4 linked regions of the Notamacropus eugenii genome follow. Each later gene encodes a partner of the first gene's protein in a complex. Links are inferred from orthologs where the notes say so. Each region holds a gene or a part of one and is shown on either strand. Other genes may lie near its edges.

What was found.
Region 2: POLE3 (region 1) and POLE4 share a complex: the UniProt entries of both Homo sapiens proteins name them as parts of the DNA polymerase epsilon complex. The link is inferred for Notamacropus eugenii from reciprocal best matches to the Homo sapiens genes POLE3 and POLE4.
Region 3: POLE3 (region 1) and CHRAC1 share a complex: the UniProt entries of both Homo sapiens proteins name them as parts of the CHRAC ISWI chromatin remodeling complex. The link is inferred for Notamacropus eugenii from reciprocal best matches to the Homo sapiens genes POLE3 and CHRAC1.
Region 4: POLE3 (region 1) and POLE share a complex: the UniProt entries of both Homo sapiens proteins name them as parts of the DNA polymerase epsilon complex. The link is inferred for Notamacropus eugenii from reciprocal best matches to the Homo sapiens genes POLE3 and POLE.

Annotation. Positions count from the first base shown.
Region 1 is NC_092872.1:478,313,233-478,320,827, reverse strand, and holds the start of POLE3 (DNA polymerase epsilon subunit 3), read right to left. Parts: upstream 3,022-7,595; 5' UTR 2,979-3,021; coding exon of another isoform or gene 2,936-2,978; 5' UTR 2,935-2,935; coding exon of another isoform or gene 2,624-2,934; 5' UTR 2,361-2,623; coding exon 2,295-2,360; intron 2,208-2,294; coding exon 2,122-2,207; intron 869-2,121; coding exon 750-868; intron 579-749; coding exon 406-578; 3' UTR 1-405. UniProt on the Homo sapiens protein: Accessory component of the DNA polymerase epsilon complex. Participates in DNA repair and in chromosomal DNA replication.
Region 2 is NC_092872.1:630,210,060-630,217,036, reverse strand, and holds the start of POLE4 (DNA polymerase epsilon subunit 4), read left to right. Parts: upstream 1-3,959; 5' UTR 3,960-4,006; coding exon 4,007-4,249; intron 4,250-6,977. UniProt on the Homo sapiens protein: Accessory component of the DNA polymerase epsilon complex. Participates in DNA repair and in chromosomal DNA replication.
Region 3 is NC_092875.1:95,898,266-95,905,957, forward strand, and holds the start of CHRAC1 (chromatin accessibility complex protein 1), read right to left. Parts: upstream 3,008-7,692; 5' UTR 2,599-3,007; coding exon 2,452-2,598; intron 1-2,451. UniProt on the Homo sapiens protein: Forms a complex with DNA polymerase epsilon subunit POLE3 and binds naked DNA, which is then incorporated into chromatin, aided by the nucleosome remodeling activity of ISWI/SNF2H and ACF1.
Region 4 is NC_092875.1:50,692,875-50,700,289, forward strand, and holds the start of POLE (DNA polymerase epsilon catalytic subunit A), read left to right. Parts: upstream 1-4,413; 5' UTR 4,414-4,435; coding exon 4,436-4,497; intron 4,498-7,415. Other genes in the region: PXMP2 (peroxisomal membrane protein 2), read right to left, coding at 3,910-4,043. UniProt on the Homo sapiens protein: Catalytic component of the DNA polymerase epsilon complex. Participates in chromosomal DNA replication.

The sequences.
Region 1 (7,595 bases):
ATTGTCAGTCATAGGCTAACTCATGCTCAGAGTTCAAACATCTCCAATTTTCAGCTGCCTCTACACCCTCTAAATAATAGCTAGTATGAAATGTGGGTCATAAAACAGGAAGTGAAATATATGAATCTTCTACATTTTTTCCCACAAAAATTTGATTAAATGGCAGTTCATAACCTACCTTGTCAAAAGGTCAGTTTATAAACTATGAAAATGAAATTGGAAAGATCTCATTCAGAAAAACTCTGGTTTGGGGATTATTCAAGAAGTATTCCTAGGTCCTCATATGGAGGCATTCTTAGCAGTGGAGGAAAAGGCCACAGAATTCTCTGTCAAACAGTACAATGGAGGCAACAGTGCTGAACCCCAAGTTTCTTATCATCTGACTCCACATTCTCTCCATGAAGCTCAATTGTCAACCTCTTCTTCATCATTCTGCTCCTCTTCTTCCATTCTTTCATCATCCTCATCATTATCATCTTCCCTGCTCTTGTCTTGCTCCTCAGAATCCGTTCTTTTGTCTTTATCCTTCTTTTTTTGCTCTGAAGCTTCCTTCTTACCTTTCTGTTCACGTCTATATGCTAGAAATAGAAGAAAGCTATAAGGCAAGGCTAAGGGCTTGGAGACAGGTTCAAATGAAGACACATCTATATATATACAATACTGTATTTAAGTTCATCTGGTTAAATTACATGACCATCACTTTACAAGGAGCTATGTCTACCCGCCCAATAAAATACACCAGTTGTTACCATCTAGTGCTTCTTTCAAAGGGGAAATGAATCGCTGAAATTCCATCTCTTCCATTGCTGATAGCACATCACCAGCATTTAGGGTCTTTCGTTTTCCTTTCATTGCAAAGTTGTTTGCACTTAGAAAAAAAAAGAGAGATGAATTATCTTGGCCATGTCTTACTTCAAGACATTTAAAGACAATTAACAGGTACATGTAAGCAAATCTGATTGCCTGACCAAGCCCACATCTAGGGAGACTACCTGTAGTCTCAAACTTTAACCTGTAATTACAAATCCCAATTACTCTAGTCTGGTAAAGAAAGAGAAGTGTGAAAAATACCAGATGCAGCCCTCTTAAACCATGTGAAGCTTGAAGGGCTACCTACTTCAAAGATGATGTAGCAGGGAGCACATCATAAATATTTGCTCTTATTATTACTGACCATCTTTTCACCTCCTTATTTTACTAATAAAGACATAGAAACTGAAGCCTAAAGAGAAGCTGACCTTTGAGATCAGACTAGTGGCTCTCTCCTAAAATCAATTCAGAGGGTCCATGAAGTCAACCTTATTTTCATAACACTACATTCAAATTTTCAATACAGTAAACACTGATAGGGATACTTTGCTCCTACAGAGGACTGGGGGTGGCTAAGCTCATTTCCTGAGGGAGGCAACATAGCATAATGGAAGGAGTACTAGCGCTGGACTAAGAGTAAGGAGAGTCCTAATTCTGTTAATTGGTTGTGGGACCTTCAGCAAATCTTTTCATCACCAAGTTTCTGTGAGATCAACTTCAGAATGAAGCTGTACTTAAGTTCAAGTTCAAGTCAACACATTTCCTAAGTGTCTTAAATGTGTAAGACTGAGCTAGGTGCTAAGAGAGAGGCTGTCACTGGACCTATTATGAGTTCATTGGTATACGGTACTCTCAGTGGAGGAAAACTTTCTCTAGAAAGCAAGTCCACCCCTTCTCTGAAACTTTATTTTAGAGAGCTGCTTAGGGCACTAGGAGAGATTAAATGACTTGTCGAGAGTCCCACTGCTAAGTTATGGGTCAGAGGCAGGACCTGAACCCAGGTCTTCCTGATTTCTGACTTTCTCTCCAGGTATAAGCCAAGAAGCTTTTGGGGATACAAAATCCAACAGAAAACCGTCCCTGCCCTCAAAGAGCTTACATTTCTACGGTGGAAATACTAAATGCGGACACATATATACAAAAAAATAACCTGATGGGGGTAACTAGGGGAAGGACGGAGAAGCTTCTTGGACGAGGGCTGGGGATTTAGGGGAGGTACGTGGAGGACACCCGGGAAGGGGGGCCCGACAGCCCCGGGTCAGGAAGGGCAAGCAGCCCCGCCGGGGATCTGCCGCGGCCCGAGGCTCTCACCAGGACGTGGCGTACAGCACGAACACGCTGGCAGCCCGAGAGATGGCACTCCGGGCCTCTTTGGAGATGTTGACGCCGTCGGGGAGCTGCAAGGGGAGACGGCCCCCGAGTTAGTGGGGTGGCCCCGGCCCCCGCCCCGGCCCGGCCCCCGCCCCGGCCTCGGCCCCGCTCACCGCCTCCTTGATGATCCTGGTGATGACGGCGTTGGGAAGGTTCAGGTCCTCCGGACGTTCCGCCATGGCCACCGCGCCTCTCGTCTGCCCCGGGACAGCCGCAACCACGCCGCCGCCGCCGGCCTCCGAGACAAGGCGGCAGTTGCGGCCCGGACCTCCGCCGGCCGCGTCGCTCACCCAGGTCGCCTCTCCGGCGTCCGTACTTCCCGCCCCGGAGCGCGTGTCCCGCCTGGGCTTCCGTTCGTACGCCCGCCTCCCAGCCCCAGCGCGTTCCACGCCCTCCCGGAGAGGCGCCGGCCTCGTGCGTTCACGCCTGGAGACTTCCCCCGATGAGTTTCGGCCAATCCAAGGCCCGCCTGGCCGGGTCTGGAAACCGGAGAGCCCCGCCCTTCCCGGCGGTCCCCCAGGGTGCAGCGCGCGGTTGCCTAGAGACTCTTTTAATCCTGTCAGGGTCGCTCCGACGTAGAGGAGGCTGGCTTAGCCTAGGTCTCAGTCGGGCGGGGTGGCTTGGTCCGTGCTGCCGTTCCTCTGCGGCTCTCCGAGGGCAGGGATCCCCTGCGAGCTGCGCTTCCGCCTCCCTCCTCGTGGGGCGTCCTCCGCGCCTCCCCTCCAGCCTTCGCCCTTGGCGGTGCTCGCTGACCGGGGTGCTGCTTCATCCTGACTCCCGGTCTCTGCCTTGTGCCTGCCCCGACCTCCCTCTCCGCCGTTCTGTTCCTCCCTGTGCCCCGCCTGATCCGCACCGTCCTGGGTCTCTTTCCTCCCCAGCCCTGTCCCACCCCGCCTCCGCTGTGCCGTCCTCTGAAGCCTGCCCTGACCCCCCCCCCCCCCCTCCCCGAGCATCCCATGTCCCGCACGCCCCGCACTTCTCCATCTTACTGCAGCCTGCCTCCTGGCTTGCGTTGCCTTTTTGAGACCTTGCCTGGCATTTGCTTGGTGCAGGGAGCTCTCGGTGAGGACCGTCCTCTCCCGGGGCAGAGCTGTGATTTCTCTGCAGTTTATCCTCTTAGTTACCCAGAGTCCTGCAGCCTCCGTGTCGGAGGCAGGGTTGGAGTCCAGGCGGTGTGGACTCTTAAGCCGGCTTTCTGTTTGTTCACTCTCTGCCCTTGCTGCTCCCCTCCTCCTTTGGTCTGATCTTCCCAAGGTTCCGGAATCTTTTCGTCTTTAAGCTTGTCTGACTCCCTGATTTTCTCCTTTCTTAGAAGAATCTCAGGACTAGGCTTCTGCTTCCTTTAACTGTAGAAAAATTTCCACTGGAGACTTTTTTTTACTTTTTTTTAGATATTTTAAGTAATACACAATTATTAGTAGCACACACCATTATGGATAGTATATTAACAAGCTTGTGTGGTGAGGAAAAATGAAATGACATATGTGAAAGTGTTGAAAAATAGAACATGTCGTATAAATGCAAGATAATGACTTATTAGGATTTGGAATTGGAAGGGAATTTATAGATCACTCTTTGACCCCTTCATTTTGTATATGAGAAAACTGAAGTGGAAAGAGTGGAAATTGCTTGTCCAAGGTCACAGAATTAATAAATAGTGAACTCCATCTTCAAACCCAGGTCGCCTGACTCCACATCCAGTGTTATTTTCACTACCCCTTGTTTATCTGCCGCTGTATCAGTATTGTATCAGTTTGGTGGCTGTTTGCGGTAGGGAGTAGACACTTTTTAATTTCACTAATGATTTTTGGATCATCTGCTCCTTTGGTCTCCATTCTAACGCATCTTTTTTTGAGGCGACATAGATATTCACAATCAAATTAAGATGTGGGCTACACGTTGCCATGCAGATATAACTAATGATACTGTGTCATATTCCCTAGCTTATTTAATTCTTGTTTCCGTAGATGGCTAATGATCTTGAGGTTGGTTTCTGCTGTAAATCTGTGATAAATATCGAATTGCCAGATGTCAGTCAATGGGATGAGACTACCTGTCCACAACTTGTTTGCCAGCATCCACAATGTTGGGCAACAGTCCGAAGGCTTCAGAGGGGTCATCCTCGAATTCTTCAACCAATTTCCAGAGCTCCTAAGAAAAGTGAAGGTGAACTGACAATACCCTTTCATATTTGTCCAAAGACCCATATATGTGGTATATTTGGCTTCCTTTCTGACTAGTTTTTAATATGGTCTGCATTTCTAGATGAACTGCCAACTCTAAAGATAATAGATTTATCTTTACCTGATTCTTCCATTTTGGCCAAGAGAATCGCTGATTCAGCCCCGTTTTTCAAGCATCCTTGTTCTTTGACTGGAGACTCTAAATTTGATTCGGATTTACAAAGCAGGTGACTCATCATGAAAACACCAGAAACCATGTGTCTCAGGATCCCAGGTGGTTATTTTTTAGAGCCATGCCCCAGAATTTGCCATGCCAGGTTAAGAAACAGTGAGCCTACCATGGGAAGAACTATTTCTCACTAACAAAATGAAGTGGTGAGTTGATATCGAGGCAAGAGAAAGAAATATTTCCCTTTTTTGGGTTCCAATAGAAATGCTAAACTGAAGTGTATCTGGACAATTGCTTCAAATAGGTTAAGAATTTTCAAGATGTTAATTATTTGGATTAATTACTTCATGCTTGAAACTATATTGTAAGCTCTGGGAGACAGAGAGGTGGTTTTTGCTTTCTTGGATGTAACATTGTAACTGGCACATAGTTAACTAGGTGCACAATAAACACTTGAAAGTGAATTTTCTTGGAGTCAAAGTATGGGTGTTGGGCCTTTTGATATACTTCATAGTGATTAGTTTTTCCTGCTCAGTGGTGCCTGGTGGGCTCTAGGAGATAGGGTAAAATTAAGGAAAGGATAAGATGGCTTTCAGGTTCTCTAAGATTTGAGCTTTGGAGAAAAGAATGGAATGCTGCTTCTCCCACTGTGTGAAGGTGGACATGTGGTTGGCATGCATTCACACTTTTCTCTTGGACTAAAGCTATAGTGCAGAGTTGACAGGGAACTGCTATATCAAGTCAATCTTGTCAATTCAGCTGTATTAATGTATGTCTTATCTATCCCTTGCTTTCCATTTCTATGGCAGCTGTATTAGTTCAGACCCACAGGGCACCAACTCATGCCTGGACTGTGGGAATAACTTTTTAATTGGTCTCTGCCTTTTTTCAGTCCATTTTGTACACGTAGACTAGATTGATTTTCTTAAAACACTAATTAGCATGTCTTGCCTCCAACTAAAATTTTTCACAGGCTTCTTAGCACTTACAGAATAAAGCCAAAACTTGAGTTTGTCATTCCAGGCTCTTCACTCCATTTCCACTTTATCTTCTACTGTTTTCCTACCTGAACCTTACTCTTTAGCTCAGCTAGTGTACCCATTGTTCTCTGATCACGCAATTCTGATTTTCACCTCAGTGCCTTCAATTATATTGTTTATACTACTTGGCGTGTGTCCTCCTAGGCCTCTCAGCTTATTTGTATGCTATCCTTTTAACAGCTATAACTGCAAATTGTATTTATTGCTTTGAGACTTACAAAGCCCTTTCTTTAGGTCAAACCTATGAGGGAGGTATTTTAAATATTCCCATTTTATATATGAGGGCACCTGAGGCTGAGAAAAGGGAAGTACTTTGCCCATGGTTACAAATCCAGTAAGTGAGCTGTGACCTGAATCCAGATCTCCTGAGTCCAGTTTGACGTTCTCTCCATCTTCCTGAACTGACTTTCTAGACCCAGTTCTCTAGTCTCCATGAAATCTAACCAGATTGTTTTCTTTTATGAGTGACTGTCTTGCCATTTCCTCAGAACTCCTGTAGCAGCTAGGTGGAATGGTGCATAGAGGGCCTGGAGTCAGGAAGATGTATCTTCTTGAGCTCAAATCTGGCCTCAGACACTAGCCCTATAACCCTTAAGTAAGTCATTTAATGCAGTTTGCCTCAGTTTCCTCATCTGTATCATGAACTAGAGAAGAAAATGGCAAACCACTCCAATATCTCTGCCAAGAAAACCCCAAATGAGGTCATGAAGTTGTATATGACTTAAAATAACTGAACAACTACTCACTATATAGCTAACACATTCTGCCTTTGATTTATCACGTACATTTCCTATCCCAGCTAGAATAAGTCTCTTGAGGATAGGGACTGCATCTTATACTTCTGTGCCCTATATGTAGGAAAGGTTCCACATCCACACCTGTCTGTTGGTCACGCTACATTTCTTTGCTACTGGATTAGGAAGCAGAGATTATTAAAAAGGGAAACTATAAAATACTGAGGTATTATGTAGAAGTGTTACTGCTATAAGCATGAGGAAGGTTGTTCCTCCAAGATCTTCCCTGCACTAGCCTTTATTTTCCTCTCGCTTTCTCTAATAACTTTTATGTCTGTTTCAGTTTGGAAGAACCACATTTATTAGGACTCAAATCTCTGAGAGGTTTCCATGGTCAGGGTTTTCCCCAGAAGTCTAGAAAACCTGCCAAAGTAAGTCACAAAGAAAAATAATCCACAGATGTAGCATGTATAGTATGTCTCTCCAGCTGAACTGCATAGCACAGAATAAAATGTGTTGCCTCTGGTTAACACCCTATATTCTTGTGTGGGCCGTTAGGTGGCGCCATAGTGCATAGAGTGCTGGAACTGAAGTCAGGAAAACTCATTTTCCTGAGTTCAAATTTGGACACTTAATTAGCTGCGTGACCCTGGGCAAGTCACTTAACCCTGTTTACATCAGTTTCCTCATCTGTAAAATGAGCCGGAGAAAGAAATGGCAAATCACTCCAGTATCTTTGCCAGGAAAACTCCAAATGGGGTCATGAAGAGTTGGACATGACTGAACAACAATATTATTGGGTAGTATCTTGTTTCATGACCAAAGAGAGCCCTGACCCCTGAGGTATACAGATAACTTGGGGAGATCGTTGATAAGAAGAAATATATATGCATATACACATGTATATGCATATATATGTAAAGTTATTAAATTATTGCTAAACAGGGCCCAGGGCAGTTGCCCTGGGCTGAGAGAGGACTTGATGATTTGGGAGCAATGAAATGGAAATACCTCTCTAACTCTCTAGTCAAACAAAAGGAGGAGATTTGCAGCTTCCTTAGTTTAGTTTATAGTATCCAATGGGATACTATAACACACACATATGCACATACCACATACCACATAGGGTTTCAGATCCCAGGAGTGGTGGACAGGTTGCAAAGAGAACATAGCACATTGCATTTGCTTCCCTGATTGTCTGCATAGGTCTAGAGTTGTCTCAACCCCTGCTCTTGGGGATAAGTCCTGGGGAGGATGGGCAGTATAATTGGTCTTCATGGAAGGAAGC
Region 2 (6,977 bases), about 150 Mb from region 1:
TGACATCAGGCAATGCACTGGAGAAGGGAATGGTCAACCACTCCAGGATCTTTGCCAAGAAAACCCCATGGACAGTACTAAGATAAAAGAGATGACATCTGGCCTCTTAGGTCAGAAAGTATCCAATACGATACTGGGCAAGAGCGGGCTGGTTTTCAAAGAAGCAAAGGAATTAGAGATCAATTGCAGCATTCACTGGATTATGGAGAAAGTAAGGGATTTCCAGAAAAATATCTTCTGCTTCATTGATTACACTAAAGCCTTTGTGTGGATCACAACAAAATGTGGGAAGTCCTCAAAGAGATGTAAGAACCAGATCATCTTACTTATCTCCTGAGGAACCTATATGTGGGCCAAGAAGCAAGGTAGAACTGAACATGGAACAACTGGTTGGTTTTAAGATTAGAAAAGGAGTTTGACAAGGATTTATATTGTCACTTTATTTATTTAACTTATATGCAGAATATGTCAAGTGAAATATTAGGCTGTATGAATCAAAAACCAGTATTAAGGTTGCCAGGAGAAATAGCAACAATCTCAGATATTCAGATTATACCAGCCTAATAGCAGAAAGTGAAGATGAATTAAGATACCTCTTGATAAGAGTGAAAGAGGAGAGTGTAAAAGCTGGCTTAAAGTTTAACACACACACACACACACACACACACACACACACACACACACACACAACACCCCAAATCCCTAAGATCTTGGCAACTGGTCCCATCAGTTTCTGGCAAATAGAGGGAGAAGAAATGGAATCAGTGTCAGATTTTATATTCTTGGGCTCAAAAATCATTGCAATCAGTGACTGCAACAATGGAATTAAAACATGCTTGCTCCTTGAAAGGAAAGCTATGGAAAATCTGGACAGTATACTAAAAAGCAGAGACATCACCTTGTTGACAGAGGCCTATTAGTCAAAGCCATGATATTTCCAGTAGTAACATATAGCTGTGAGAGCTGGACTATAAGGAAAGCTGAGCTCCGCAGAATTGATGTTTTCCAATCATGGTGCTGGAGAAGACTTTTGAGAGTCCCTGCAACAGCAAAGAGATCAAATCAATCAACATTTAAAGGTTATTCATTGGAAGGTCAAACACTGAAACTGAAATATTTTGGCCACATGATGAGACAATGGGACTCATGGAAAAAGACTCTGATATTGGGAAAGATTGAAGACAAAAAGAAAAGGGGAGGGCAGAGGATGAGATAGATAATGTCACTGAAGCAATGAATACAAACTTGGACACACTTCAAGAGACAGCGGAGGACAGAAGGGTCTGGTGTCCAAGGGGTTGCAAGAGTTGGAAACTACTGAACAACAAAAATGTTTATGGACTATTGACTCTACGGTCCCCCCCAGCTCTAAATCTATGCCTTGGATATCTGCTTTACTGATTGAACTCTACTGATTGAAGATGAGTTAAATAATAATTCCCTATGGGTCATTTACTTACTTGAATATCCTGATCCCTGGGCTATGTGAAAAACGGATCTGGGAAGTGCCGGGGACCATCTGAGGCTTGATGCTATGAGACTATAGCCTTTAAGGGCTGGGTGTTCTAACGGCCTTGACCTCTTTGTTTTCAGTACAGCAAAGAAATTTAAAAGAAAAAAAGTCATTTATTGCAATAAAGAAGCCTGCACTGAAAAAAATACCTCTAGTTTGTGGCTGACCTTATAAATATGCAACAGATCAAAAAAATATGGAAGATGTTAATGAAAATTTTGAGACAGTAACATTATTTCCTCAATACTCATAAAGCATATCATCACAGAACTTCTTACATTTTTACAATACGGCTAAGTTCACCTTCCTGATGTCATGGCCCTCTCCATGTCACTCCCCTTCCTGGTATCACCTCCTCCCTTTGGCCTTATATTATCAAAATGAAAACTTTTGTAAGGACTGCGAATTGTTTGCTCTTGCTTTGATTTTCATATGCATGTTCATTCTTCTTGTAATAAACCTAGTTTTCACATAAGTTTTGTGAAGGTATGATTTCCTGTTGATGTTAATAGAGGTAAACCCTCAGGTGTTGTATATCCTGAGAATTCTTGTGCCTACAAAGCAGTTCTATCCAGAGGGGAAACTAAGACCCAGAGACTTTTCTGAGGTCACAAAGACAGCAAACAGTAGAGCCAGAAATTGAATCCAGGTCCTCTGACTTTATATCTAGTGCTTGCACCCCTAAACCATGCTAAATTAAAGGACAATGAAAAGAACAAAAGAAGGTGGCGGCAGGTTTAAGAGGTTTAGGGACCACCCCCTCCCCCCTAAGGACTGAAGTGCAGGAAAGGGTTGTCTGTAATGAATTCTTGGACTCAAGCATTCTTTAAGTCAAGGTGACAAAGGTTTATTGTAATGCTTTGGGCAGAGTCCTTTAGGGAACCTGTATTCCCTAAGAAACTTGCAATTTAGCATGAATGATGCTAAAGTTTACATAGGAAAAGTAGTGGATTATCTGGCAGATATGCTAATTAGGTGATAATTTACAACCTTTATCATAGGCCAATTTACAACTTATAACTGTGGTCATCCACTACTGGAAACCAGGGGAAGGGGTTTCTCAGGAATGTATTTTTGGTCTGTTACTCTCTAGTAAGATAGCTTTGAGAATTGATGTGTGTAGTTTGACCTGTGGATTGAATATAATAACTTTGGGATTGATACATGATAATTCTGTGATTACAAGATAGTCCTGTTTTTACAAGAGAATTTCTTCAGAGGTCAACTTGTTCTTGTGATGGGGAAAGATTGTTTTACTGGAGTCCACTCATGAGTAATTGTGGGGGGAAATAGTTCGTCTTACTGCGACCCACTCATGAGTTCTTGCTAGGCATAGTGTCCTTGGGTTGGAGAGAAAACCGTGAGGGATAACGTTTTGAAGCTAGGGAGAAATGTGATCTTGGAATTGGGGTCCAAGCACAAGCACCCAAGCAGCCCATCAGCGGGAGATAGAAACAGGAAAGGAAATTTGTAACAGTGGGAAGGTCTAAGAGATGAAAGAAGACATTCCTCAAAATTCATTTCCTGCAGGGTCACCACTTTCTCTGTTTGCTCAGCACCCAAGGGGCTCCATTGGCGCTTAATTTCTTTGGGCTGGTTGAAAGATTTCCAGGTGTTGTGTAGAACCTGTCTCATGGGCTTCCTGATGGCCACATGGTTTTCTCTCCATGCAGACCTCCGCACTGGGCAGAAGCTCAGAGGGTTTGGATTGACACACAGTCACTCCGTAGGGTGGAGAACCTGAGCTGGGCACTTGTGGAAAGTTTCACCGAGCCTGGAAACAATGTATCCTTACTTTAGTTCCTTTAAGGCCAGACCATACAGCAAGTCTTCCCTGAACCTTCCGACCCTCCCCACCGACCTGGCGCTGGCATCTCACACAGCACTTTGTTTAGAACCTATCCCATGCCCTTACGTACAGTTAAAAACAATTGACTTTTATTTCTCGACCCTCTACCAGAGCCGTGAGCTCCAGGAGGGCAAGGGCGTTGTTTTGTCGGGCAATTCGGTGCGGTGGAAAGGGCCTTGCTCTAAATCTTTCCCCCGACGCTGACTTGCTATGTGACCTTGAACATCATTTCCCCTAGTCCGGGCCTCAGTTTCCCCCTGTGCCAACTGGGGTTTAATGAATGAATAAACAAGGAAGTGGACCCTTTCAGGTTTCAGCCTGGGATCTAAACTCAGCATTTAGCGCAGACGGCTGAATTTTCGTAAATGGTTGAGAAACCCAGGCGTCCTGCGGTGGGCTGATCCTCAAGGTGGGCCAGGACGATAAGACAGAAAAAGCGACTGGAGGAGGATTCGGCCACTGCCACCAGTAAATACGGTAATGCAGCCCAGCCGCTCCCCTGGAGGTGGTAGGGGCTGGGCTGGAGCTGACACGCGGCAAGAAGGGGCGGGGCCAGAGGGGATCCAGGGCGGGAAAAGGACAGGCGCCCGCGCGCTCGCGCCCCGGCTAGAGGAACGCGCACGCGGCACGCACAGGGGCTCGGGATGGCGGCGGCGGCGGCGGCCACGGCGGCGGGGTCGATCGGCCCGACGGCTGCGCCAGTGGCGGAGGAGGGCCCCAGTGGAGAGGCAGCGCCGGCGGCGGCCCCTCCTCCGCAGGCCCCGGCGGTGTCGGCCGCACCCCGCTTGTCGCGGTTGCCCCTGGCGCGGGTGAAGGCGCTGGTGAAGGCGGACCCAGACGTGACACTCGCGGGCCAGGAAGCCATCTTCATCCTGGCTCGCGCCGCGGTGCGCGCGGGCGGGACCTGGCGAGCTGGGGGTGGGGCCTGGCGAGCTAGGGGCGGGGCTGGGAGGGACTTAGTGGAAGTGGGTGGAGCTGGGGGCGGGGCCTAACCAGCTGCGTCGGGGAGATCCATGGACAAACTTGGTGCAAAACCTTTTAGGAAAACCTGGGTCTAAAAATCACATCAGACGCTTTTTAGCCGTGCCATCCTGGGTAAATCACTTAGATTTCTTTGAGCCTCAGTTTCCTCATCTGTAAAATGAGGAGGGCTCCTGCACTTCTAGAGCTGGAGAAGACCTCAGGAGCCATCTGCTCTAATCCTCTCATTTCGCAGGAGAGGAAACTGAGGCACAGGGAGGTGGAAAGACTTTCCCCAGATCGTGCAGGTGGGAAGCAGCAGAGCTGGGACTTGCACCTGGGTTCTCTGACTCCAGGACCAGTTCCTCCCCTATCCACTCTCAGTGACTTCTAATTCCCTGACTGTGGTCTGTGTTCCATGATAAGGGAGATGAATCTGATGGCAGTGTGAAGGAGGAGAGCTTAAGGGGAAAGACCTAGAGTAACAATCTAGGGTGGTGGTAACGGGGGCTGTGTAAGATTAAGTGCACAGGACTTGGTAGCTGATTGGATGCGGAAGGTGAGGGACAGGGAAGAATTAAAGATGGATAACACCAAGGTTTTGATAGGAACAGTGAAATTGGAAGGAGGAGCAGATTTTAGAGTTAAGATGTCATTCCAGTTTTGTGCATGTTGCTTTTGAGCAGCTGTCGGGACACTCAGGGGCAGATGTCCCTTGGGCAATTTACAGGTTTTAGATCTGAAAAAGATCTTATTTGTAGACACCAGAGGCTGGGAGAGAAATGAAGGGTAGAGATGATCAATTTGGGATTTTTCTATGATAGCTATACTGCTAAATTCTGTTTCTCGGTCATTTTCAGTTGTGTCTGACTCTGTGACCCCATTTAAGGTTTTCTTGGCAGAGATACTGGAGTGGTTTGCCATTTCCTTCTCCAAAATAAGTTGTTTTAGGTGCCACTTTTTAAGGAAGGACAATGACAAATTAGAGAATCCAAAGGAGGACACCTTGGATGCTGAGTGGTTTCAAGTTAATGTCCAGTGAAAATTATTTGAAGGAATTGGAGAGGTTTAGTCTAGAGAAGAGAAGGTGTACATGTGGGAGATGTGATAATTATCATAAAGTATTTGAATGACTGTCACATGGAAGAGGGATCAGGGGTTCTCTTTGGCCCCAGGGATCTAAACTAGGAGCAAAAGGTAGAAATTTCAACGATGCAAATTTAGACTTGAGGTGACGAATAACTTACCAGTTTTAGAGCTGTGCAAAGTGGAATGGACTACTTCAAGAAGTATTAGGCTCTGCCCCTTGGGAGCTCTCCCAGAGAGACTGGATGAGTACTTGTGGGGATATCTTACTCTGTATTTACTTTATATACTTAGTAGTATTCATGCTATAGTCTCTGGTAAGTTATAAGCTCCTTAAAGGAAGGGACTGTTAATTTTCTTAAGTCGGTATCTCTAGGGCCAAGAATAGTTCCTTGTTTCTCGCCCTTTACCACCACTCTCTTAAAAAAGTTTTTTTTGGCATTTCTGATTTCATTCATATAGGGAACTTCTGCTGAGGATATTTACTCTATCAGCAACTTTTCTACAATTAGTACTCTTCAAGTATGTTACTTCTGGCATTCAAAAGTTGTGACTTACCTAATCTCTGAAATTCTATAGGAGTAAATGAGATTGCCAAAAGAGAAAGCATATCAAGATGAAGGCTAAGCGCAAAACCTCATCAGGCACCCTCCTCTCTCCCTTTCCATACCTCAAAGAGCTGAGAAGAGATTGAGGAGCCAGGAAGGAGACAAAAGAGTGGCTAGAGAAGTAGGAAAACCAGGACAGTGGTGTTTCTGAAACTAAAGGAAGAGGAAAAGGGATTTATATAGGAAAGGTGTCAATCAGTGCTGTATCCTTCAGAGAGGTCAAGGACATTGATGGCCTTTGAGAGAGCAGTTTTAATAGAATACTGTGGTTGGAAGCCAGATTGCAGGAGGATCAAGTCTGACTTTGAAGGGATGAAAAGATAATGCAGTAGCTAGATGGGATAGAAGGGTCAAGGGAAAGCTTTCTAGGATTGGGGAGTATGTGTGGAAAGGGAGATATTGAAAATCCATGAGAGAGAAGGAATGATTTCGAGAATAAGGTCCTAGAGGCAGGAGGTTATGGGATCAAGTCCACTGGCTAGAAGACTAGCCTTAGTAAAAAAATAAATATATCTTCCTTTGAAAATGAAGGGGAGGAAGATAGAATGGGTGCTGATGCTCAGAAGCTTTGAGGAGTAATAGAGGGAATTTAAAGGCACTCCAATGTCATAGGGCACCTAGGTCGCACAACGGATGGAGTGATGGGACTGAAGTCAGGAAGACTCATCTTTGTGAATTCAAATCTGGCCTCAGACACTTACTAGCTATGTGACCCTGGACAAGTCGCCACACCCTGTTTGCCTTAGTTTCCTCATCTGTAAAATGAGCTGGGGAAGGAAATGGCAAACCAGTCCAGTATCTTTGCCAAGAAAACCCCAAATGGGGTCACGAAGAGTCAGACATGACTGAAACAATTGGACAACAACCCATTTGATAGCCTTAATCTTCTCAGTAAAGTAGAAAGCTGTTACCTGTTGTAAATGCTGAGGTTATGTGTATGATTGGGGGCTTGAGGAGAGAG
Region 3 (7,692 bases), on another chromosome or scaffold:
ATCACTACAGGAGGCACAAGGACATAACATTGTACTTATCAGTTTGATGTTGAGAGAAGGGTAGCAAATGGTCTTTCTACAAAAATTTATTTTAGATTTAGTACTTTTAGCAATTATTATCAATGATTGACTAAATATAGGGCAATGAATCAGAAATTCAGTCAATGATAAATTACCTAAAGTAATGGAAGAGAAAAGTAATGTCAATTATCCAAAAAAAAAAAATCACATTTGCCTCTAGAGATGCAATTTTTTTTACCTTCCATTTGAATATGGGCATATCTGAAGTTCTGGTAATTCACACCACTGCAAACCAGATAATGAAGCCAATGAGTTGGGAGTCGTAAAGCTGGCCAGACTTCTCGCTCCCAGCTCAACTCCTCCATGCTGAGGATAGACAAAAATATCTCTTAAACTGATGCAAAGCACCAGCCTGAACTGTGCTGCATTCCCCCAAAGTTTGGCTTGTCTAGCCCATACTTTCTCAATCAAGGAGGTAATTAAGGAGGTTTTGGCTTTAAAAGCTAGTAGCCTAATAAAAGTAAGGACCTCCAAAGCTCTCCTGTTTTGCAGCTGCTGCTGGATTGAGGTCATATCAACAAAGAAGCTGGAAAAAGTCTAACCCAAGCCTGGTTGGTAAGGCCTTAAAGAATAAAGTGAATAAACTGTATAACTATCTTAAGAAATGACAGTAATAGGACAAAATGAAACAAGAACCCATTAGCAATGACAAGCTCCAACCAAGAATACCACAAGTAGGCTAAGAATCAACTGGGAGACAGACTTTAGTTTAGGAAAAAAAAAAAAAGATACTATGTCAAGAAGCATAAAGCACTGTGAAACCTACATTATTCAACACTAGTCAAGTATTTAGCGTTTAGTTTTGAAAACCACTAAAAGGAAAGAGTTCAGAGGAGAAAAAGGGATCATTAAAGGTGAGATACATTTTAAGGAAGATTAAAACTATCAGGTTTAGCCAAAATGTTTAGCAATCACTGCACACAAAATTCCTACAATTCTTTCTCCTTGTATACCCAGAAAATGTAATTACAGCAGCAGGGATGTGGACATTGGAGCATCATCTTAAACCTACAAATTGTCAGACCTTGATACGTTAATAAAGGCAGTTGCAGAGGATAATAGTATTTTTAAGTTAAATTGGGGGTACAGCTCTTCAGGGTAAACATAAGGATAGGATTGCCAGTGAGAGTGTGGATTACAAATATAGCTTATAGCTGTGTGACTCTCGGTAAGTCACTTCTACTTGCCTCAGTTTCCTCAATGTGTAAAACACGAATAACAACACCACCTACCTCTCAGGGTTGTTGTGAGGACAAAATTAGGTAATATTTGTTAAGAGCTTGCAACTCTTAAAATTTTATATAAATGCTAATCACCTCACTATGTCCACTAGAGTGTCACTGCTTTTTTATTCCAGCCATAAAGACCGTCTCTGTTCAAAATCACCGAAAAGGGCATTCTTTCTCTTAATTTTACAATTCAGATTTGTTCTCTAGATTCATTGCGTCCTGATGAGAGCCTCGGAATAGAACTTATAAGGAGACATGACACAGCTGCAGTGGATCACATTGCATTTGGCCAGGAGAGTCAAGGGCACTTCCAACCAGGGCTGAGAAAGAGCAAAACTTTAAACCTGAGATCTCAGCAGGTAAAGGTCACTCCCCCCCCGCCCCGCCCCAAAAGAAAACTGAAAACAAACAAAAAATAACTCCAGGATGGATGAAGGCAGGCTGAATTTTTGGAAAGCGTTTACCTTAAAACCCCATTACCCTCTGCAAATTTCCCTTACCGACCTATGTCAATTTCTACCCAACACCTTTGTGCTTAAGGTGATCTTCCTCTGTACTAAATCCCTCCTGCGGTAATTCAGTTGGGTGGAAGCAGTGCAAGGAGAACCCGCCCTCGCAACTTTGTATCAAATGGTTTCCACCAGACACGCTGGGAAATATTTTGAACGCAGAACTTCTCCTCGGCTTGGCAGCCTCGTTTCCCCTGCGTTTGCCACACACCCTCCCCAGGGTAGCGTCTTTAGGGGGGCTCCACGCTGCTCTACTGCAACACCAGCTGGGATCCCCTGGGATTCACAGCTCTGCACCCACACAGAGTCAACAAAAGACTGAAAACTCCGGGGACCGCCACGCGGGATGGTTCTCTGCCAAGGCTCCGCCCTCTCCGAGTCTCATTGGACGTCCTTTTTTTTAAAAAAAAAAATTTTTTTTTTTAAAGAGCATCCCTTCCAATGACAGCGGGTCAGAGGCACGGGATAGGCGCTCGTGCTCGCGCTCGCGCCGTCAGGCAGCGCGTGCGCGCGGAGCTGCCGCCGTGGCTCCCAGGGGGCGGCGCGCGAGATGCGGCCGTTGGGGGGGCAGTCTAGACACCGCCTCCTTTCCCCCTCCCCCCTCGCTTCCTCTCTTCTCTCCCCTGACTCACCGTGGCCTTGGCCGTGAGCACCAGCGCCTCCTGATTGATGCTGGACACCTCCGGGGAGCTCTTCATGATCACCCGAATGCGAGACAAGGGTAGCGAGACCAGCCTCTGGTCGCCACATTTCTCTTTGCCGCCAAACCCGTCCGCCATCTTGCTGCCCCCGCCCTGGCAGCAGTGGTAGAAATCGCGCGGCCGCCACTACTCCTGCTGCTGCCGCCGCTGCCGCTGCCGCGGCCGCCGCGGCCTCCGCCCCTTCCGAGATATCAGTTTGACAAATAAAGTTCATTGACAGGGAGTCTTGCGGGCCTGTTGCCTTATGGGAAGCGTAGTTCTCTAGAGACGGGGCCCCTGGCCCCAGCAAAGGGCGGGCTCGAGGGAGGTGACCGCATATCCCATGAAGCTCCGCGCGCCGTTGCTCTCGTGGCTACGGTGAAGGCAGGAGACGGTAGGATCCGCGTGGGTGGTTTGATACCCGAGTCCACGCTTCTCTTGGTGCGGGTAGTCGGGGTCCAAATTTACGTCTAATAATCAGCTCCGGACGTCAGACATCTGCACGTCTGAGAGGCCTGACGTAGGGTCTGTCGTCGTCTTAGTCATCCTCATCTGATTTCCCCCAGCTGTATGTAGCAGCTGCAGGTGTGCCATCTTCAGTGACCGAACACATCAGACTACCACTTCTGCCTTGGAAAAGGACTTTAGAAGCCAGCCAAATGTTAATTCAGAAAAGAACAAAACCAAGCATCCAGGCAAAGTCCCAGACCCATTTTTGTATTATCTTAAGAGCATTTGTTTTGTAAGAATTTCATAATATTTAGTGTTCGGAAGGAGGAGAAACTGGGGCCCAAAGAAAAATGATTTACCCAAGTCATCAAAAAACCTCTCGATCGTCTCTCCTCCCTTTTAAAAGTGGCTAAACTTAAGAATTACAGTCTACAAGCGGTTCCTTCACTTCCTGTTACCCTCTACAATTTTGGACCTCAACATTTAAGTGAAACCGCTTTCCCCAAAGTTACTGATGATCTCTTAATTGCCAAATCTAATGGCTTTTTGTCAATCCTCATTTTTTTTTTGACTTCTCTGGAGCCTTTGACGTGGTCAGTCACACTGTTCTTGATTCAGTCCTCTCTGAGTTATCATGGCTCTACTCTCACAGGATTCTCCCACATAATCTGGTCTATCCTTCTCTCCTTCATTATGGCTTTTCACTTAGGTCAGAGTCTACTGGCCTGGGATGTCCCACTGGACTCTGTCCTGGGCCCTGTTCCTTATACTGTTTCACTTAGTGAGCTTCTCAGCTTCTGTGAATTCAATTATCATATCTATGCTGAGGATTCTCGAATCCACTTGCCTTTGCTTACCTGTACTATCTCATTTCTAACTGCCTACTGGACGTTTGTAACTGGATGTCAAGTGGACATCTTAAACTCCACGTGTCCAAAATTGAACTAATTATCCCCCCTCCAAAAAAACGTTCCTTCTTCCTAAGTTTCCTGTTACTGTTGCAATTTTGTTTGTAAGATCTGTTCATTTTACCCTTGCAAACATCTCTCACACATCCTGCTATAGGCCTTTATCACCTTATGCATGGACTATTTATACACTAACCTGCAGATTGGTCTCCTTACCATCAGTGTCCCCATTCAAGTCCATTCTCCACTGTCAAAGTGACCTATCTAAAGTCTGACCATGTGACCACCCCTGCTTCACCCCCTCCAAACTTTCAGTAAAGTCTACTAGCTCTCTATCACCTCCAGGATCAAATATATAAAATACTTAGGCATTTGAAATCCTTCATAACCAGGTCCTTCTCTAGCTTTCCAGTCTTCTTACATTTTGTGCTCCTCACCCTTCACTGTACTCCTTGATCCAGTAAAACTGACCTCCTCGAATTCACTCAAGACATTTATCTCTGCATTTTGGTTGTCCTCCATACCTAGAATCTTTCCTCATCTCTATCTCCTGGCATCCTTAAAATCTCAACTAAAATCCTACCTGTTGAAGGAAGCCTTTCCCAATCTCCCATAATTCTGGTGTCTCTCCTGTTGATTATTTCAATTTGTCCTGTGTTTAGCTTGTTTGTACATGGCTGTTTGCATGTTGTTACCCCCATTAGACCTTGACAGCAGGATCTGTCTTTTGTCTTTCTTTGTATCCCTAGTCCTTCCCACCGTGCCTGGTAAATGGTGGGTGTGTAGTAAATGTTTGTTGACTGGCTGGCAAAAGGAGAGAGCAGAAAAACCAAGACTGGAATATTCTCCACTGAACGTGCTGACAGAGAAGGTAACACCTGGTGCAGACAAATTTCCCCTATCCTATTCCTATCAATTGATACCTTCTTAGTCTGAGCTGATACAGAGTGACTAGCAGTTAATTTAAAAGCCCACATCTGTAACTGCTATGTCTCTCGATGACACCCGTTACATGGCCCTTTAAGGTTTACAAAGAATTTTTCTCATAACAAATTAAACAAATATTTATTAGTGCAAGTGTTATTATTCCCTCTTTATAGATTTTTTTTTTAAATTGAGACTTAGACTACTTGCCCATGAAAGATTACAGAGTTTAGAAGACTTAAGCCAACACTCCAAACCCAGGACTTTCTGCTACACCAAAGGAGCCTTACAGATAGACTAACAAACGTCCTCAGGACAAATACTTATACAAGTTGCCATTGATAGATACATAATAATAACCCACACATAAAAATGCTTTACTTTTTGCAAAGTTCTTTGCAACATTGTACCGGGTCTCTGACCGACTAAGTCTACCATTTTTTCCATTAGGTTACATTGTTAATGGAAAGAATAACAATATCATGAAAGGGTGGTCCTTGAAGGCAGAAAATGTGACAATGGGGAACTTAAAAAATTGACATGTTTATTGAAGAGTCTGTGGTCATTTTTGAGAACAATCCGTAAGGCTGAAAGGGATCCCCAGCCAAGAAGTTATCATTCAGTCTCTGCTTGATTTTTTTCATCTATTAAAGTAAAATCCCCTGTAGACCAAAGAGAATCAAAAGATCTAGTCTACTTAATCCAAAATTTACCTAGCCACAAATAGTGCACCCTGTGCAGAGATTCAGAAGAAGTGGATTACATAATTCCTCCTCTTGATAACTTTGCAGTACAGTGGGAAAGCCAGAATCAAATTATAAAATTGAACATTAACCAAAAAAAAAAAAAAAAGAAACCTCACACAAAGCAATATAAGGTAATAACAGCACATACATATTGCTTTAAGGTTTTGTATTTATCTCTTTTGATTCCCACAACAACCCTAAGGGATAAACGCTATTATTATCCTTATTTTACAGATGAGGTGTCTGAGTCTGAGAGGTATATGTGGCTTGTCCAGAGTCACACAGCTAGTAAGAGTCTGGGACAGAATTCAAACACAAGTCTTCCTAATTCCTATTCCTGTGTTCTATGAGCTATGCCGCTGACTGCCTGGCTTACAGAAGAAAAAAAAGTATTGAATATGATCTTAAAGAAGAGGGAGGACATAACTAGGTACTTGCCAAGTCCTGTCAATTCTACATCTGTAGACCGAGTTGTTGTTTAGTCATGTCCAACTCTTTGTGACCACATGGACTTGTCTATGGAATTTTCCTTGGCAAAGATGTTGGAGTTGTTTGCCATTTTCTTCTACGGTATTGTCCCCATTTTACAGATGAGGAACTGAGGCGAATAGGGTTAAGTGACTTGTCCAGAGTCACGCCATTAGTAAGTGGTTGTGTCCAGATTGCAAATCAGATGTTTCCTGAGTCCAGGCCCAGTGTACCACCTAGCTGCCTGTCAATTTTGAGCCTTCTGAAAGCTGCCCCAGGTGCAAGGCACCTGAAGCATTTACTCAGTGAGGGCTCATGAGCCCTCACTATTAAGTCAACCAGAAGATACATTAGTAGAAAGCAAAAGATATTTAATGAAACAAAATAACAGAATAGGTAAGGAACATTTCTCACGTATTTTCCTCCCACGGATTTGTACAAGTTACCTCCATATTTCTCTATTGTGAATTCAGTCCCCATTACCTTCCATTTTCCTCCTTGCACTATGAGAAAGAGACCTAGGCAGTTTTCAAGTTGTATCAATTCCCTAATAGACCTTCTTCCTGTCCATTGTGGGATCATGGAAGATTACGGGAAACCTTTCTTCAGCTCTCAGTGTACTCTGAAAATCTCAGAATTGGAAAAGCTTTGAGACTAGCATAAGAAATTCTCTGGACAGACATCACAAGTGAGGAGCAAAGCATCCTAGTGCTAATTAATTCTACCAGGGATGGACTACACCATCATGACCTGGCAACTTCAGGAGCAGCTTTCTGGAGAAGGAACCTAGCACTAAACCTTGCCACCAGTGCTGGCAATAATTAGATATATTCATGAAACCCTAATCTTTCTGTACTTTCTATTTCTACCTCCCAGCTCTTCTCAAAATCTCCCACACTCAAGACAGACCCCTAGTACTTCAAGTTCAGGAACTTCTCCTAATCAGCATAACTCTCTGGGCCCCAAAGCATTATGGAGGATATAGTCTGGATAAAACAGGGAGTCTGCCTACTCGAACAAGCTCCTTATATTCCATGGTATCTCTTGCATCCTTCATCTTCTCCCCGTTCCCAGTCACTACTCTATTTCAAAAGACAGGGAATTAGGAGGCAATCACAAATTATTTAAAGAGATTTCTGTCTCCTATCTCTCCCCCTATCAAGTCCATCCTTTACACAGCTGCCAACAGAATCTTCCTAAAATGTAGATCTGACCCCTCCTCTGCTAAACCAATTCTCTCATGTTATGGTTTCGATTTCTTGAAGAATCTGCCTTAAGACCAACATTATTTAAAGTATTTTTATTAGTCATTTTTTTGTCAATTGGGAATAAAGTTAGCCAGTGACACTCACTTCAGTGGGCTTTTCATACATATTTAAAAGCTTTACAGAAACCCGTTGGTAGACTGTGTAGTAATCCATTCAAAACCTCCATGCAATGTATTTGCCAGAGCAGAAGATGTTACAAACAGAGCCAAAGGTTTTGGAAGACCCCAAGCTGCTTCAGGGGGTAGGCAGCTGGACTGTGTAGATAGTTAAAAGAGGCAGCCAGAGCGAGGAGAAGAAAAAGGTGGCCTCTTCAGAGAAAGCTAAAAAGACCTGAGGCTCTCATTTAATCACACCCCTCTTGTTCTTTCTCCACTGCTCCTTCCTCCACCTCCTCCCCCTCCCACCCCATCACCAAGGCAACTTGGGCAG
Region 4 (7,415 bases), on another chromosome or scaffold:
TGAGGAATTTATATTTCATCCTGGAGGCATAGAGAGCTATGGAGGCTTTTTGAACAATAAGGGTATTGTGGTTGCTTCTTTTTCTATGAACAGACCTGTGATGTCTGTGATGGAGAAAACCCTCTCAGGAAAGCCCTGCAAGCAATGTGGATCAGCACCTGTTTCCCAACAGGTTTTGGAGAGCTGCCTGGACCACTGAGAGATTAAATGACTTATTTGCCCAGGATCATATACCTCCAGTACATATCAGAAGTGAACCCTGGTCTTCCCCACTCTTTGGCCACACTACCAGTCTACCCACTACACCAGGCTGCTGAGCAAGTCAGATGTGTTCTGTAGAAATGTCAGAGACAAGGAGGCCAAGGTTGGGAGTCTATCACAACAGTCCAGAAGGGAGCTGATGAGGACCTAAACAAGACTGGTTGTAGGGTCAGTGGAGGACGGTGACAGATGCAAGATATATTTTGGAGACAAAAGTGAGGAGACAAGAGCTGGTCTGGCTACTGTACTGAAGTGAATGCCACTTGAGTGCTAGAGCTTAAACCAGAAAAGTGATTTGGAAATTAGAGCCTTGTCTGGTAGGTGCAAAGAGAAGGCAGCTAGCATGGGCATGCTTTGCAAAAAAAGCTGCCACTAGAGGAAAAGTAGCCCAAACAGAAAGACCCTAGCCTGGTGCTGAATAGCTGAGAGAAAACGGGAATGAAGAGGGGAGGGGGCTTGAGGGCCAAGGGGAAGCCTGCAGTCACGCGGCTGTGCCTTCGCCCGGTCCCCTGGTATTTCAACTTCCCCTACTTCCAAAATCAAAGAGGAGCCAAAGAGGGAGGGCAGGAGATGGGAAAAGAAGCTTTCAGGTCCCTCCCCCGGAGCCCTCAATCTGCCTTAGCCAAGGGTCCCCTGCAGCTACAAGACTAATTTACAACAACCCCCAAACAAATCCAGAAACCACCAGCGTGCCGCAGTCCACAAGCCTGACCCCTCCAGCTGCAGCTTCTCAGGGAGTCGGGGACGGTGGGGGCGGGGGAGGTGGCATTCCAGGGAGGTGGGCAGGGGGGCGGGGGCAGAAGGCGGAGCTTTGCTCTGACGCTCCGCCTACGACAGAAGGGGTTTCCTGGTCACTGGGAGGTAACCAGAGAAACAGCGGCGCGTGCCCCAACTTAATTGGAATGTTATAGAGAAAGGTTTCCCAATCTCTCCCTACAGCACTCTCTTCCCACCCCTCTACCCCACCCCTTTCCCCCCACCTCCCCTCCCCCAACCTCGGCCCCACCCCCTACCCCCCTTCCTGCCTAGCCCCTCTCCCCACCAAACAGGTGCAGATCAGTACCCTCCGGCTCGGGTCACAGATCCAGGCCCCACGCCCCCGGCCCCTTCCCCTGCGCCTGGTCCTCTTTCTCATCACGGCACCCGTTTCTCCAGCTCCATCCCCTAGATCCTACACTCCTGACCCCTTTTCCGATTTCTCTGACCCTCTCTCCTCTCCAATCTCGCTTTACCTAGGTCCCTCTCCGATTCCCTCTTCCACCCTTCCTCCCCTGATCCCCTTCCCCCAAGCCCCTCCTCCATGCCTGTTCCCCCGATCCCCTTCTCCATCCCCGCTCCCGTGGTCCCTCCCTCCATCCCCATCCTCCGGATCTCTCTCTCCTGATCCTCCCCTCCATCCCAATTCTTCCGAGCCCGCTTTGCCGTCACCTTCCCCCATCCTAACTCTCCCCATCTCCTTTTCTCAGACCTCTCCTTCCTCCCCCATACTTCTGTCCCCTCTTCCACCTCCCCTTTGCCAGTCTCCCTCTCTGCCTCTCTTCTCTCGAGCCCTCTCCTCCAGCCCCCCTCTTCTTCCTCCAAACTCGGATACTTTTTCTGCAGTCTCCCCCGTCACCTCGGATTCCACTTGCACCTCCACACCTGTTTCTTCCCTATTCACCCAGTCCCCTCTCCCATGCTCACTGCCCCATTCCCTCTATCCCCTTTTCCATCACCATTACCGGGATCCCTCACCCGCAGTCCCCTCCTCTCTCCCCCGACCACCCCACTCCTCCGTCTTTCTCTCCCACTACACCCTCCCGTCTCAGCTCCTTCGATCATTCTCTCCCTCCTCCCCGCTCCATCCCAATTCCCCTATCCCGTTCCCATGGGTCGCTTCTCCCTCCCAGCATTCGCAGTCGGCTCCCTCATCCCCGCTCCCCCTCTCAATTCCCTCAGCCCCACCTCCCCTCCTCTCCCTCTCTTCTGACTCCCCAGCTCCTCCCTCCCAATCTCCTCTCCCAGTCCGATTCTCCTTCCCAGACATCTTCATCCAACACCAAGATCCCAGTCCTCTCCCCGACTCCACTCCCTCTTCCCCGCTCCCGCACTCCCTTTCGGCTTCCCCTTTCGCGGGTGCCTTTCCCCCGTGCCCGCTCGCTCGATCTCCACCATTCCCGCTGGTGCAATCCCCGCCCGCATCCCCGCTCTCCAGCTCCAGTCCCCCGTCCTCGCTCTCCTGCTTCCTTTCCCCACCCTCGCTCTCCCCTAGCTCCTCCAACCTATACCCCCACTCCAGTACCTTTCCCACGCTCCCACGCACCTCCCTCATTCCATTCCTCTATCCTTATTCCTCCATCCTTCTTCCCTGTTCCCCTCCTTCATCCCCAATCTCTCAGTTCCCTCCTCCATCATCCCTAATCTCCCAGTCCCTCTCCCCAGATCCCCTGACCTCTTCGCACTGATGTCCAGTCCCAGCCGTTTCTTTTAACAGACTTCTATTCTCCTTCTCCGATCTGTCTCCCCTGTTCTTTCTCTAGATCCTTCTCTCCAGACTGACTCCCATCCCTTTACCTTGCATCACTGTCTGCAGAACCCTTTTCCCATCCCTTTCCTTGATTCCCCTCTTCCCAGCCCCCCTTCCCTAATTTGTTCTCTCTTAGTCCACTCCCCATCCTCCCCCAAATAACTGCCCTTTGTTGATACCCTTTCTGACCCTTCTCCTCAGATTTCTTCTCTCATTCTCCTTCCAAAATCTCTCACCCCTCATCCTTCCTCTTAGGTCTTCCCCGATCCTTGTTCTCATCACTTTCCTCTGATCCCTTTCCCTAGGTCGTTCTCTGATCTGTTCTCCATATCACTTTCCCCTGATCTCTTTCCCACAGATCACTCTCCTGATCTTTTCACCCAGATCACTCTTCTCTGATCCTTTCCCCTAGATCACTGTCCCCTGATCTTCTCCCCAGATCACTCTCTCCTGATCTTTTCACCTAGATCACTCTCCTCCGATCCCTGTTCCTAGATCGCTTTCCCCTGATCTTTTCCACAGATCACTCTTTCCTGATCTTTTTTCCAGATCATTGTCTCCTGATCTTTCCCCAGATCGTTCTTTCCTGATCTTTTCACCAGATCGCTCTCCTCTGATCCCTTTTCCTAGATCGCTCTCCCCTGATCTTTTCTCCGGATCACTCTTCTCTGATCCCTTTTCCTAGATCATTCTTCCCCTGATCTTTTCTCCAGATCACTCCTCTCAGAACCTTTTCCCTGGATCACTCTGGATTTTGTTTTCTCCTCTGATCCTTTTTCCTTGAATTCTCTCCTCTGACTCTTTCCCCTAGAACCCTTTCCCTAGATTTCGCTCCCTGAATCCTTTCTTCCAATGGCTCTTCCCAAATCAAATCCCTTTCCCCTCCGCCCCCCGCGTGTGGTTCTTTCCAGATCCCTTTCCTCTGATCTTCCACCCTAAATAGCTCTTCCCAGATCTATTTCACCTGATTCCCCCTCCCTCATGGAGCTCCCCAGATTCTTCTCGTCTGATCCCTTTCCTCTGATTCCCCCCCGCCCCCAATAGCTCTTCCCAGATCTCTTTCCCCAGATCTCCCCCCCACCCAGGCTCTCCCCAAATCCCTGTCCCTAGATCCTTATCTCCCGATCGCGCCCCGGCCGGACCTAGTGGCAGCCTTGGTGAGCACCGGGTAGAGACGCAGCAACAGCAGATACTGCTCCAGCACCCGCTGGGGGAGCGGCCTGGCCCGGGCCCCGGCCCCAGGCCCGGCCCGCAACGTGGACACCACCGGAGCCATCAGCCATCGGCTGAAAGCCAGCACAGTTCCGAGTCTGGGCGCGACCTCGGCTCTAGGGCAAAGGGAGGGGACGGCCCTACATTTCTAGCCCTGGGGCGCCGCGCGGCGCGGCGCTGGGGGGCACCTAGTGCAGCCAGGCGCACGAAGCCCGGAGTTTTTCCCGGCTCCCTAAGCCTTTCCCTCCTCTCCCGGGCGGGCCGCGTAACCATTGGAGGACCACGGGGCGTGGCGGTTCCTGCTCCTGATTGGGTGCTCTTCCAGAGAGGCGGGGGTGGGTGGAGCTGAGCTGCGCTCTCGCGAGATTTGGGGCCGGAACGCGCGAAATTTCTCCCGGGAACGGAGGACGCCCCTGAGGAGAGCGGCGGAGTGAGAGTGGCGGCGGCTGGCCCGAGATGGTGTCCCGGGAGCGCGGGTGGAAGCGCGCCGAGCCCGGGGAGGAGGCCGAGAACAGTCGGTGAGACCTGCGACCCCGCCGGCCCCGAGGCCTCAGAGCCGCCTCTGTCCCGCCTCCCCTCCCCCAAGGCTTCCTTGAGCGCCCCCATCTCCTCCGCAGGGTCCCTCCCAGGGCCCTGAGGGCCGCTCTCCACCCCAGCCTTGCCGGCCTCAGCTCCCCCTGGGCCGTCGGTGCACCCCCAAATGCTGAGACCCCAGAGCCACCCCGCGCCGAGCCCCTGGAATCCGCCGTGCCCAGCGGCCGTGCCCAGCGGCCGTGCCCGCTGGTGCCCGCGCTGACCACCCACGGCCTTCTGCGCTCCCATCCCTTCCCCGGAGGCCGCGCTGCCTCCGGTTACTTCCCTGTCCCCCCATACCCCCGTGTGCGGCCTTTCCTCCGTGCCTTCACTTGCTTCTTTACCTTCGATACCTGCGTGCCCATCATTCTCAGATCTGCTCTCCAGCATTTTTAGACAGTATTTTCCCTCTTCCATACCGACCTTCCCGTTGTCGCGTCCACCTGCTTGCCGGACCTTTCCAGCTGGGGGTCCGACCGAACACTGAACTCATCATAGTCATCATTCCGGCTCCTCCTGCTTCAGTTCTCCTAAATCCTCTTCTTTCTGGCTTTCAGCCTCACCCCTTGAAGTTACCCGTGATCTTTTCATGTCTTTCCTGATCCCTTTCTACCTACCTGTTTCATCTGACTGTTGAATATTGGGAAAAATCGTGAAGCCGATGCTGACAGGGTCCACTACAAATTTATGTTACCTAATTTCAACCAGGCCGGCCTTGCTGCCAAGTAACCCTTTTACACCTCCCGAATTAACTCACCACAGAGGTTCTTCCAACCCTTTTCCTGATTTCCTTTCCCCCTCCCTTCTTAGCTGAAAACAGACTCATAGTTTACTGGTAAAAAAAAATGGAAACCCTTTCCCCAAGAGTTCCCTCTTTTCCTTTCCTCCTCATCTTATATCACCCAAATGCCTTTCTCCACTGTCTCCTTGTGTGAGAAAAAGATGGTCATTCTTGCCAAGCCACACCCTTCTGTTTCACAAGTGATCCTAGTCCACCTTTCTACTGAAAATTTTCCCCTCTAATTATCCTCACTCTCCTTGCCTGTTGGTTGCTTTCTAACTGCCTACAAACTTGCCCCTGACTCCTCATTGCAAGATCTTCGTAATCTTCCTCTGAACTATCTCTTGCTTCTGTCCTTTCCAGTCCTGCTACTGGTGCAGTCCAGTCCTTCTTCTGGACTCTCCACAGTTGGTATCAGCCTACAACTCAGAATCACGGGAATTCAAACTGAATCTATAGGACAGTAGCTTGTCACACCAGTACTGTCTTCACAGTAGTAGTGGTAATGTTGATTTGATTATCAGTCCTTAAGCAGGAGGAGAACAGGGACAAGCTATTGCTAGAGAACAAATGGCAAGGTCCTGGTCCTTTTCTAGTGGTCGGGGTGGGAGATGGTAGAGTTGTGGGATAATTGATGACAAAGGGGAGAGGGGTGTTTGAGGTAGTCCTTCCCCTCTCCCAGTCCTCATTTAGATCAATTCACCTGATAACCTTACCTAACCTTTTCCTTTCTCCTCTCCATGCCTTGGCTATAGGCTTAACTTTGAGGTCACCTTTTTCAGGAAGCTTTTCCTGAATTCTTCTCTGCACATCCCTCCCACTCAAAAAGTAATGTTTTATTTAAATAATCAGCTGCAGAAATTTAGGCAAGACTACAGAGCAATTGAAATGGAAACTCAAGGTGTCTAAGACAGGACAGGACCGGACTATTGTCTTCCAACTGTCCTCCAAGCCAGCCCTCTTCAAACTTCTCTTTTATTGTTGAGACCACCACCGTTGCCCCAATCATCAAGTTTCACACCTTCCACATTGACCTGGACTCCTTACTCTTACTCATCATTAATCAGTTGCTTTCTCCGCAAAATCTCTCTATTCACAGCCTAGACTACCCCAGTGCAGACTGCCATCATTTTTTGCCTTAGCTGTTGCAATAGCTTATAAATTGATCACCCTGCTTAAGTCTCTCCATTCTAGTCCATCTTCCACTCAGCTTCCAAGGTGGTTGTCTGATTTTCGTTTCAACTCCGTACTCAGTAAATTCCCCTATTACCTACAGGATCAAATATAAACTTCTTTGTTTGATGTTTAAAGCTCCCTCCATCTTTCTGGCCTTACTTATAATTACTTCCCTCTGCACTTTTTACACATGACACACCATCTCCTGTCTCCATGCTTTTGCACTGTCAGTTTCCTCTGCCTGGAGTGCTTTATCTCTTCACCTTTGCCTCTTGAAATTCTTTCAGGACTTGGCTTAAGGACCTCCTCTTGCTTAAGCTGTTCTCTTAGCTTGTGCCTTCCCCTCCAAGGTTATCTTGTCTCTCTCTGCTAAATATGTGTTTTGCATATTCCCATATATGTTTTTGGCATGTTAGAATGTAAATTTGATGGAAGCGACTGTTTTTCTTTTGTCTTTGTATTTTAGCCCATTGTCCACCATATAATTGCTGTTTAATGTGTATTTGCTTGCTTGATTCAAACAGGGCTGGATGACTATCTGTTAAGGATTTTATAGAAGGGATTCCTATTGTTGGATAAGTTGAACCTGGATGGTCTCAGGTCCTCTCGAACTATGAGACTTTTTGTTCTTTACCTCTCAGATTTCTCATAGCATTTTGTCTGAAGCTGTCTGTTGCACTGATCTTGCTTTACCTTATGTTGTTAACTTGTTTATGTGTCTTAGTTACCATAGTATATTATAAACTCTTAGAGGATCACGTCTTTTTCTTATGCTTAATAAATGTTTGTTGTTTTGAGGCTGTTGTTACCTTTTTCTTGGGCTTTTACTGTAGACTCTTAGTTACCTGTCATCAGTCTCTTCCCTAATCCGTCCAAGTTGTCCTACCTAATGCCTCCCATCTTCCT